Linked DNA regions of Neurospora crassa OR74A. The protein of the gene in region 1 purifies or fractionates together with the protein of each later gene. This does not show direct contact. Links are inferred from orthologs where the notes say so. Each region holds a gene or a part of one and is shown in the gene's direction. Other genes may lie near its edges.

Evidence for each region. Proteins that work in one complex are often made in the same cells at the same time.
Region 2: the proteins of NCU00417 (region 1) and NCU06994 purify together in Schizosaccharomyces pombe (affinity purification with mass spectrometry; 3 studies listed by BioGRID, with this or other methods). This does not show direct contact. The link is inferred for Neurospora crassa OR74A from reciprocal best matches to the Schizosaccharomyces pombe genes cwf14 and cdc5.

What each region holds. Positions count from the first base shown.
Region 1 is NC_026503.1:3,779,745-3,784,599, reverse strand, and holds NCU00417 (cell cycle control protein cwf14), read left to right. Parts: upstream 1-2,677; 5' UTR 2,678-2,816; coding exon 2,817-3,263; 3' UTR 3,264-3,586; exon of another isoform or gene 3,587-3,657; 3' UTR 3,658-3,681; downstream 3,682-4,855. Other genes in the region: NCU00419 (DNA-directed RNA polymerase I and III polypeptide), read left to right, coding at 556-726, 785-876, 948-1,024, 1,096-1,226; nuo14.8 (NADH:ubiquinone oxidoreductase 14.8kD subunit), read right to left, coding at 1,483-1,494, 1,579-1,689, 1,924-2,070, 2,206-2,267, 2,321-2,444; NCU00416 (C2H2 type zinc finger domain-containing protein), read right to left, coding at 3,693-4,166, 4,278-4,691. UniProt on the Schizosaccharomyces pombe protein: Involved in mRNA splicing where it associates with cdc5 and the other cwf proteins as part of the spliceosome.
Region 2 is NC_026504.1:4,814,403-4,820,659, forward strand, and holds NCU06994 (pre-mRNA-splicing factor cef-1), read left to right. Parts: upstream 1-2,443; 5' UTR 2,444-2,606; coding exon 2,607-4,607; intron 4,608-4,674; coding exon 4,675-5,013; 3' UTR 5,014-5,265; downstream 5,266-6,257. Other genes in the region: NCU06993 (Ash2-trithorax family protein), read right to left, coding at 1-1,260, 1,338-1,792; NCU06995 (hypothetical protein), read right to left, coding at 5,726-5,779, 5,926-6,257. UniProt on the Schizosaccharomyces pombe protein: Involved in mRNA splicing and cell cycle control.

The sequences.
Region 1 (4,855 bases):
TCACGGAATGATTGCTATACGTGAACACCAAAAGAGCTTATTCAAATTCCGGGAACACTGGCCGATTAAATAGTGAACCGAATGTGAAGTCAAGTATTTGGAGTCTTGAGTCCGGGAAGTGAATGTTGAACCCGAGTGACCTCAAGTCCCCAGCGTGGAGTTGCGAAGTCCAAAGGCTCATCTCAGCTTGGTGGAGTATCCTCAGCAATGGAACGCGGGAGCAGGCCAATGCCCGTCAGCAGGTGGGGTCGGTAGCTGCTCGCCTAACTTTCAGCCGCCTCCATCTTCTTGCTGGGGGGCGAAACCCTGCATTTCCCAAATTCTTGGCGACGGATAAACTCTTTCTTTCCACGCTAAAAATTTCTCCGATAACAGAGGCAATAGAGGCTCAGTCAGGTTGTTGTTCACCACTCGCGTGCCGCCGACTGTTGAATTCAACCCATCCGTGTGTTCCTGGAAGGATTTACACAATCGAATAACAACAACTTTACGCAAAGATCCAAACCATCTTTCAGTTACCGGTAACTCACGTTACCAACAACCATTACAGTCAAAATGGGCAAGATCACCAAGTTCGGCGACGAGGGCGAGGAGGTTACCATGAAGGAGACCCCGACTTCTCACCAGCCGGAGGCTCAGGATGATGTCTCTATGGCCGATGCGGGCGAGGAAGGAGAGGAGGGAGATGAGGAGTATGAGGAGGGAGAGGGTACTAAAGTTAGACTTGTACGTGAAACCCTCCATGACGAATATATGTCGACTCGAGACTAACACCTGAGCACAGCTTCCTGGTTCTACGCCCACGGCCGCTTCTTTCGAGTTCCTTGATGAGAACCATACCCTTGGTAACGCGCTCAGATACGTCATCATGAAGAAGTGAGTACCGGGAGCTTCACTTGTCTCATGTTAATGAGCTGAGCTGTGACTGTGCTAACACCATTTCATAGCCCTGATGTCGAATTCTGCGCCTACGCCATTCCTCATCCCTCCGAAGCCAAAATGAACGTTAGAATTCAGACCTATGGTGCGTCATCTTTCTCGTCCACTTCTTAGCGAGACCTGTGAATACAGAGGTGAACTAACAGTAACATGCAGAGGGCACAACTGCTGTCGAGGCACTCCGCAAGGGTCTGCGTGACATTCAAGATCTTTGCGACGTCGTTTCGGATAAGTTCCTTGAGGCGCGCAAGGACTTTACTGATAAGAAGGCCGCTGCGTCTGCCTAAGCCTCTTGTTTCTCACCTTTCTTTTCATCGTTAATTTTCACCAGCATGGGTAACGGCGTTTTGGGGCTTGAATTGGTAGTAAATCACAAGGGGGAACAAAAAATAGACAAAGGAAAACTCGCTGTGAGTGGCCATCAAGATAAGGGGGGAAGATAAAAGAACAAGCGGCTGCGTCCATGGATGTTCATCTGGCTTGCGTTATATACATAGGCTCTAGAGGAAAGGCTGACATTGATACCCTTCGTTATTACTCTTCTTAGTTGCGACCCTAGATGAAAGAAGAGTATTGTGAGCTACCCGCACAATGAAGTGGCCATCATCAAAGACAAAAGAGCTGCATGTATAGGCTTACCTGCAGGAAGCCATCGATAAAGCTGGAGGGAAGTCTCTTGGCTCCACGGAAGCTCTCCTCGTTGAAGTACGACATCATGTGAGTCGTCTGGCGCCAAAAGTTCATGGTTTCCTGATAGACGCGTGGAGAGTCAGCGTCAAGTTACCAGAACAATCAGTCCGAATCGCCGCGACGCATAACATGCGCCAGCGCTCTGATATTCCCTTCTGACCCCTTGCCTGGAACCCTTTCCCTCTTCTTTTTGGGTGTTCTCCAGATTTTGGACATGACCCCACTGCTGTGCCCGTTTCTGGGGATCCCCTGATTCATGTCCGTGTGGATAGTGACGATGAAGTGGAGCCTTACTTGATAGTCGGCATGGCCCTTTGTGAGCAGAACATCCACCACGGGCAACTTGTTAACGAAGCGGTTGCGCTCGAATTCCTGCCTGATGCGAGTGCGAATGACCGAAATGGGGAGGGGTAGTGAGTACATAGACTGCATCTCGGGTGTCTGTTGTATGTGATATCCTGGTTAGCGAATCCTCGGTCGGGATTGTTCGCACTCCTCCCATTATATACGTCGATATCCAACGTGTTCGTCGAAAGCTGGAAATGCTCGTTCTATGTAGGTTCGCTCGTAACGTACCGAACGAAGCCATCGCCGATAAAGGGCGAACACCCTCCGCTTGGCGTCGCTCCAGTTTGCCGCTACAATGTCCGTCAGAGTTACTCGTTCAGCTTGTACAACTGGGGTCACTTACACTGCCTGGTGGTGATGGCGTACTTGGTAGGTGTGATGGGCATTTTGGGCCAATTCGTGACTTGAGGACCTTTGGAGGTTGTCGCCGTTCCGTTCGCCAGGGTCGGTCGATTCGTCGTTCGCATGACAGCTTGTAGCTTCAGCAGTCGGCTCGGGGTCGGTAGCATCCAGCTAAGCCACAGTTGCTCTTACACACAGAGTGCGGGCGCTGATAGCACTAGCCACAACTACAAGAGGCCAATGACGTTGGCGCCACAATTCCAAGGCGTTTCTGGCAGGCAATTTTGAGCCAGTTCACTGCACTTACGCCGGGGATCACAGCACTCTCCTCTGGTCAGCTCATTAGATTTGAAGTTCTCCATCCTTCAACCGAACAATTGCGATATCACCACACACTCCGATACTCTTCCGAGTATATACGTTAGCGCAACGCAAAACACGTTACTTAAAGCACCGCTTACTAAATCCCGAGGCCGAGGACCAGCGACGACCTCAAAATGCCAGCCATTCGCCCCGCCTCGAAGCGCAAGCCGCCCCCAGAGGGTTTTGCCGACATTGAGGAGGATCTGCTCATCTTCGCCAACAAGATGAAGGACGCACAGAACGCCCCGACGGACAACATACCCAAGCACCAGGCCAAATGGCCTATCTTCCAGATCTCGCACCAGCGGAGCCGGTACATCTATGAGCTCTACTACGAAAAAGAGGCCATCAGCAAGCAGCTGTACGAGTGGCTGCTCAAGAATGGATACGCGGACGCGATGCTGATCGCCAAGTGGAAGAAGAACGGCTACGAGAAGCTCTGCTGCCTGCGCTGCATACAGACCAAGGAGACCAACTTCAACTCGACGTGCATCTGCCGCGTGCCCAAGGCCGAGCTGAAGGAGGGCCAGGATGTGCAGTGCGTGAGCTGTGGGTGCAGAGGGTGTGCTACTGGTGATTGAAGAGGAGGAGGCACGGATTTGAGGTTATAAAATTGAAAAGGGACGGCAGGGACAAGCAACTTTTTTCAAGGCTGAGATGTGGTGGAGAAACAATGAGAAGCCAGGGGCCGACGAACGGCTGTTCAGCGCCGCGATAATGATACCAACAACATCTCTTTGTCGAGCACGCATCGGGAGAGGGAAGAGGCGTTCACGGGGAGAGGGTAAGATAAGATGCTTTCTCCTTTGCAGAGCTATGTTTGACGCTTACTGTTGAGGGAGCAGATTGAACAAACATACGAACACGTTATGTCATGATATCATGGAATGTGAGGACCGTATCAGTATGTTCTCGCTACAGATGTGCAATAATATGTTTCAGCTGCCCAGTACTAATGGAATTGGTTTGCCCAAGCCTTACCACATCTCGTTTTTGCACTTCCTCTGTTGTCACCTTTTGGCGAATCCAGTCTTTCCTCCACGACCACGACCAAATCTGACACTGGAGGGTACGAACTGCAGTGCAGACATCTTGCCTACCAAGTCTCCCATATCCACGTCAGCCGGCTCCTCAACGGCCTCCTCGTGCGGTTGGTCTGTCATCTCAGCATCGGGTTTCGTCGATGTTGGAGTGGGCTCGGGCCGATCTACTTCCATCCGCTCCTTCATTTCTGATGGAGGCTTTGACTTGGAGTTGACCTTTGGGTCGGAAGAGCTGGCATGTGTTTCCGCTGCCGATGGCTTGTGGACCCGTTTCTGTTTCGGCCGCCGTTCATCCAACAACATCGACTGCCGCCCGTCAATACCGTGCAGTGTCACCGCGAAGAAGAAATTCTTTGGGTACATGTGCTTATCAATGAGATGCATCCGTCGCTTTTGGGGGGTCATGCATTTCCTTTCGCAACCTTCCACGAAGCAGGAGTACTGGAACGTTCGTTAGTGGCAAGCCTGCCAAAATTGAATCGGCACTCGGCAAGGCCAAGGACACGCCAGGACCAGGAGGGGAAAGAGGAGAAGTTGGAGGGCAGGACATACCGTGTGTTCACCTTTGTCTCTTTTGACAGCCGTGAAGGAGTCATGATTCTCCTCGATGTGCAGCCCAAGTAGATGAGACGAGGGGAAGTTTTTACGGCACTCGAGGCACCGGTTGGTGTGGATGCTGTTGTAATGGGATTCGTACTCGGAGTATGTCAAAAACACCAGTGTGTCCTTGTGTGGCGGCAGCGAACATTTCATCTGCATCCTGGGTTGGCTGAGGCTTTCGGTGGGATCTAGCCCAGCGATCTTTGCAGCGGGTGGTGACCCGGAGGCATCGGCGCTGGTAGATCGGCTCGTTGTTGTCTCGGTGGTATCACCCAATTGCTGTTGGTTTGGATAAAGAGAGCTTGTCGTTGTTACTGTTTGTTGATAGGGCAGAGGGTCCTCCTCGGGTTCGCGTGACCGCTTCATGTTTGTGCCTTATCGGTATTCTTTTGGGTGTGTTGATGGACTAGATTTGCAATGACATTTATTTGTACCCGAATTCTGTTGGTCATGGGCTAGGTATACCGCTTGCTTCCTTTACCCTTTGTTTTGGATTTGATATTGAGGTCGGTTGTAGTGAATCAGACCAG
Region 2 (6,257 bases), on another chromosome or scaffold:
TCCCGCCCACCAGGCAACAATTGCGCTCCGCCCCCACCCGTCGCCAGCAACTTCTCGGCGTCCTTCGCCGTGAGGTTGAAACGGTCAATCACCTTGCCACCGTCCTGGGCCCAGAAGCCAACTTCATCGATAATGTCGTAGACGATATCTTCGACTATTTGCTCCTCGTAGCGACCCGACACCGGCCGCAGGGGTTCTTGATTCGGCACACTTCCGTCGTCAAGCATGTCCACGTCGTCCTCATCGCCTACCCCGTTCTGCTGCTTCTGGGGAAGACCAGACCCAGGTGGTGGGAACCAGAAGTCTGGGCCAAAGTTCACCTCGACGGCGCCACCGCGGAAAACACTTACGGCTGGGTAGTATCCGACAGTTCCGTCGTCGAGAGCTTCTCTGCCGGCATGTGCCCCTGACTGAGTACTTTGTTTTGATGCGGGTGGTAGGAAGGCGAAGAGGTCAGTCCAAGGCGTGCCCATGTCCTTTCCATTTTTGTAAATCTTGATGTACGAGTTCGGCAGCGTCCGTAGCGACGGCAATGGGTGATTTGGGTTCGGCGGTTCCGGCGAGTTTGAGCTTGCCGATGCTACCGGCGCGGGACTGAACAAGTCTTCCAGCTCCTTGGTTGTGTGGTAGTCAATCTTCTCAAAGTAAATGTGTTGTTTGAACCGAATGGGGATCCGGTCCCGGATGATGTTGGGTGCCTCGAGCGATGGTTCGTCGTCTGCCAAGTCGACCGCAGGGTTATAATGCCCCGTTACAATCTTCCTGTGTAAATGTTCCGAAGGCAGCTGGATCTCCAGCCCGATCACATCTCCTTCTTTGATCTCCTCGCCAGGCGGGAAGAAGTCTTTCGGCCGTGACATGTGCACCTTTTGTCCAGCCACGTCTCGAATACCATAACTGTAGCAATCGAACCCGACGGGGGCGTCGAGAGAAGCCTCACGCCGCGCCCAGCCCACGCGAACGTGCCCATGCGCCTTGGTATCACCTTCGGAACCTGGCTCGCGCAGGGTGCCTCGAGTGACCTTGCACTCCCAATACCACCTGCCCTCTCGCACGGCCACGTTGGCTCGTGACATACGGAAGCCCTTGTCGGTGGTGACATGACGACCCTGTCGGTCAAAGTATACGTGGGAGGCAGAGTCCTCGAAGGCCATGTGGGCAGCGTACGGCTCGGTCTCGGTCTGGCGATAGTAGAACATGGAAGGAAACGTTGGGTCGGCTATACAGTGAGTGTAATGGAACGCTCGCTTGTTGAAGACACTGTAGGAAAAAGGCAAATCAGAATATGCTCCGCATGAATGGAGAATGGCGAAGGAGCAAATATAGATAAGACATACTGTTCGGTTGCATCAAAGAATTCGATGGTCTCGCCCTCGGGCCCTTGAACCTCATGATGGCTGGTGAAGACGGGACCGCGCGCGGGCTCGAAATCAGTAAGTTTGGGCGGAGCGAGCTTATAGCGCGCGGGGAGCAATTCGTTGATCAAGGGCTCTTTGTGTTGCTGCTTCGGGTCTGGAGTTGCTCTAGAACTATCGGAACCGCCTGCTGCTGCCTTGGCCTCCCTCTTCTTGAAGGAGTCCTTCTTTGTTCTCTTTTCGCGGTTTAGAACGGCTGCTTGCTGGGTGTCTTCGGGTGCCTGTATTTGGACTCTTGGAGCGGCCTTGTTATCTGGGTTTAGGGGTGATGGAACTGCTGGACTGTGGTCGTCTTCGAGCGTGCGCTTCTGAGGGATCGTCGTGGCAGCTCCGGAAGGTGTTTGCTCCCTTCGGGGAGAGCCTACGTCGCTGGCCATATGTAGCTCGGCAGACGTCGTGCTAGCAGTAACGTTGACAAATATTTAACTAAGTGATTAGTTTTGCTTTCGCAAGCTGTCCTTGTCCTGAAGTCGACTTGTGTTTGGACTCGAACGGCGAGCACTCCAAGTCCAAAGTAGGTACCGACGGGAGCTCTTCTGATCGACGACAGCTTATGGATGCTAAGAATAATCTGAGAATTGCCCGATGGTGATCCTACGGGTAAATGCTTTGGTACTCGGAGAAGACGCGTACTTTTGGAGAGCGCAATTGGGTTAAAGAGTCCAGTTTCGGAGCGATTTGATGTTCTTTCTGGGGATTTCTGTAAAGAGTTGAGAAATGTAAGAGGAAAGAAAGACATGTGAACCAGAAATGGTGGATGGAAGCTTCATCCACTCGACCAACAGCAGCAGCGTGTCGCGACAAAAGGGCGGGGCATCCTTCTGTTAGTGGTTAACGGCAGGCAGGGGTCCCGGAGCTTGGCTCGCTTGTTAGTTACCACATGCATGGGACACAAAAATGCTAACAGCGCGGGAACCTGTTGCCTGCCGCAAAAAGGTCTTGAGGTTGGCTAGCGCTTGACAGTTGATACTGGGAAAGACGCCAAGGCAGTTGCGTCGCGGGTGATTCCATTGTTCGCCTTGACGCCAGCGCTTTGAATTTCTGGATTTCTTCCCCATCAACACAACAACATTTCAACACTTTCAATTCCAATTCCAAGACAACCCCAACCCCGAGTGTCCTCCCACCTACCGGAACGACTCCCGCATCACTACAACGCCCGACGAGTATCCATAACGGCCGAGCGACAAGATGCCCGTCGTCAAGGGAGGTGTGTGGACCAACATCGAGGATGAAATCCTCAAGGCGTCGGTCAGCAAGTACGGCCTGAACCAGTGGGCCCGCGTCTCGTCGCTGCTGGCCCGCAAGACGCCCAAGCAGTGCAAGGCAAGATGGAACGAATGGCTGGATCCCAGCATCAAGAAGATCGAATGGAGCAAGGAGGAGGATGAGAAGCTGCTGCACCTCGCCAAGCTGATGCCGACCCAATGGCGTACCATTGCCCCCATCGTTGGAAGAACCGCAAACCAGTGCCTGGAAAGATACCAAAGACTTCTCGACGAAGCTGAGCAGAGGGAGGCGTCCGCTCTTGGGCTGACGGGCCCTGATGGAGGCGAAGCTCACGCGCCCAGCGCCGACGATGTTCGCAAACTACGTCCTGGCGAGGTCGACCCCGATCCGGAGACGAAACCCGCCCGTCCCGACACCATCGATCTCGATGAAGATGAGAAAGAAATGTTGAGCGAGGCTCGCGCGCGTCTGGCCAACACACAGGGTAAAAAGGCCAAGCGAAAGGCCCGTGAGCGACAGCAGGAGGAGTCACGCCGACTGGCCGCTCTCCAGAAGCGTCGCGAGTTGAAGACAGCCGGTATCAACATCAAGGTTACGACAAAGAAGCAGGGCCAGATGGACTACAATGCCGATATTCCATTCGAAAAGAAGCCTGTTCCCGGATTCTATGACACCACCGAGGAGATGTCTCGCAACGAGTACCAGCGCGCCCATTTCGACCCCAAGAAGCAGCAGGTTGGGAACAAGCGCAAGGGTGAAGAGGACGAGAGAGACGGCAAGAGGAGAAAGGGCGACAAGGACCCATCTGTGCAAGCCGCCCTCAAGGCCGGTCAACTGCAGAAGATGCGCGAGGCAGAACAGAGCAGCAAGCGGAGGGCTTTGGTCCTGCCAGCACCTCAGGTCGGCGAAGGCGAGTTGGAGGAAATTGTGAAGATGGGCATGATTGGCGAACGGGCAAATATGCTGGCTCGCGAAAGCGACAACGACGCAACTCGTGGCCTGATCAACAACTACTCGACACTCAACACCAATGCGCCAATCCGAACACCGATGGCCCCCGCTCAGGAAGACCACATCGCAAACGAGATCCGCAACATCCGAGCACTAACAGAGACGCAATCCTCGCTGCTCGGTGGAGAGAACACACCTCTACACCAGGGGGTGGGCTCTACCGGCTTCGAGTCGGTTGCGCCGCGGAAGCAGGTCATGTCAACCCCTAACCCCTTAGCCACCCCTTTGCGGGCAGCTGGAGCTGGTCCTGGCGCCACGCCCCTCCGCGTCGGCCAAACACCACTGCGCACTCCCCGTGATACATTTGCTCTCAATGATGCCGGTGACGAAATGTCCATGGTGGGCGGCACACCCCGAGATGTTAAGATGCGCGAGATGTCTATTCGGCACCAGCTCAAGCAAGGCCTCGCGTCTCTTCCCAAGCCCAAAGAGACCGAGTGGGAGCTCGAGCTGCCGGACGATCAGCAAGAGCCCAAGACCGCTGAGCAGCTGGAGGAGGATGCTGCTGAACGTGATCGACGAGAAAGGGAGATCAGGGAGGCGCGAGAGCTGTTGGAGCGCAAGAGACGTACCCAGGTCATGCAGCGGGATCTGCCTCGGCCTGTCCAAGTCGATTATCAGTCACTCTTGAAGGAAGCCTCGCAGGCCGAGGACCCTGTCAAGGTTCTCATCGCTCGTGAAGCGGCCTTGCTCGTAGCTCATGATGCCACCAAGTATCCTCTACCGGGAGCTCAGCCAACTGGCCGGGCACTGGAGATCCAGAAAATCGACGACGCCGCGTTGCAAGAGGCCAAGCTTCAGGTTCTGATGGAAATCAAGGATAAACCAAAGCCGGAAGAAGTTCAAGCGGTGTGGGAAAAGAGCAACAGCAGCTCCCTTTTGCTTGGGCTGGGATGCTATGAGGACGATGAAGAAGAAGAGCAGATTTCCACTATGCAAATTGCGCTTGAGGTATGTACAACTAACCCCTTTTCTGCCTCCTGCCTTCCGAAGGCTTACTGGCTAACCTAACCTGCAGGAGGTCATTGACCAAATCGTCGCCTCGGCAGAGAAGGGCAACAAGCTCGAGAAGAAGCTCAACCTGCATCTTGGCGGTTACAAGAATCGGGCTGAAATGCTGCGGAAGAAGATCAGTGAGGCTCACGAGGCGTTGGAGAAGGCGAACAACGCTCTGGGCGCTTTCAAGGTCCTCCAGTCCTCGGAGCAGGCCGCTATTCGGAACCGGCTGGCGGCGCTGCGTGAGGAGGTGGGCTTTGTGAGCACGAGGGAGAGAGAGGCGCAGGAGTTATACAGGAGGACGAGGGAAGAGCTGGATGCTTTGACGCTCAACGGGCCGAAGGCCAATGGGTTCCGCTGAATGATGTGTTGGAAGAGTGTGGTCAGGTTGTGAATAATTGAGTGTTGGTTAAACTCTGGCATGGCATGGTATGTCTGGCAACTGTCTGTGGAATGGCCACTGACGTCGAGCAGCTCAAAATAAGAAGCATTGAACATTATTATGTACTTGGAGGACGTCTCTCGATGCACCGTGTGAATATGTATAGTACGATGACCAACCTCCCTCTCAATATCAGTGAATTCTTCTCCTACGAGATTCTCACAACCCAGGGGCTTGGTAAGCGGGAGCCAAGGTGAACGCCAAATGCGAGTCATATCATATACACTGCAAAAAGCTTACCGGGGAGCGACGAAGCTTGTCTTCACTGGCAATCAGTCTGTACCGAGCTGTTCATTCAATCTCTCCTATCTCTCTCTCTGCTCTGTGTCTTTTTCTTCCCTCCCTCTTCTGGGAATGCATCCCTCCCTCTCCCTCTCTCTACCCTACACAAAACCAGACCAAAACAAAACAAAACAAAACAAAACAAAGACGCTCGCAGTAAATTTCCCCCAAAGCTAAGCCAAAATATGAAAAAAATTTTGCCATCCATCCCTCCAACGCCTTGCCTATATCTATCCCCTCTCTATCCTCTATTCTATCCTCTATCCCGTCCGCCCGTCTACCCTCATGAGCTTCGTTTTGCCAATCGGTCGTCGTCATCCTCTTCACTCTTCACTCTTCCTGAGTCCCCTCACTTGACGCAGGCGGAGGAGGTCTCATCGTAACCACCACCACCAGCAAAACACTAGCCACCACCATCCCAGCCAAAAAACAAGCAAAAATCAAGCGGCGTAAGAAAAGGCTGCGCGAGCGATGATGATGATGATGATGGGGTGAAGAAGTGGTCCGAGATGATGGGTGGTGGTGACCTGCGTCTGCTGAGGAATAAACCAACACGTCGTCGGCTGCTATAAGGGGAGTAGTCTCATCAGGCTTGGGCATGATGAACTGGTGCTGGGAGAAGAGATCCACGGCAGCGGCGGAGGTGGCGGCGGCGACGGCGTCTTGATCTTGTTCATGTTGCCGTTGTGGTTGTCCTTCATGCCGGCTACCACTAATGGTTGACGCATCATCGTCCTCGTCATCCTCCTCGTCATCGCTATCATCGGTTGACGTGGTATAAGACCCCGTAGTTGTAGATTCTTTCCGTCTTCGCCATGGTTGGGGAAGCGAGACGCTGTTCCGGACACCCTGAAACCGTGCAATCTGGCTGTAGTAGGATG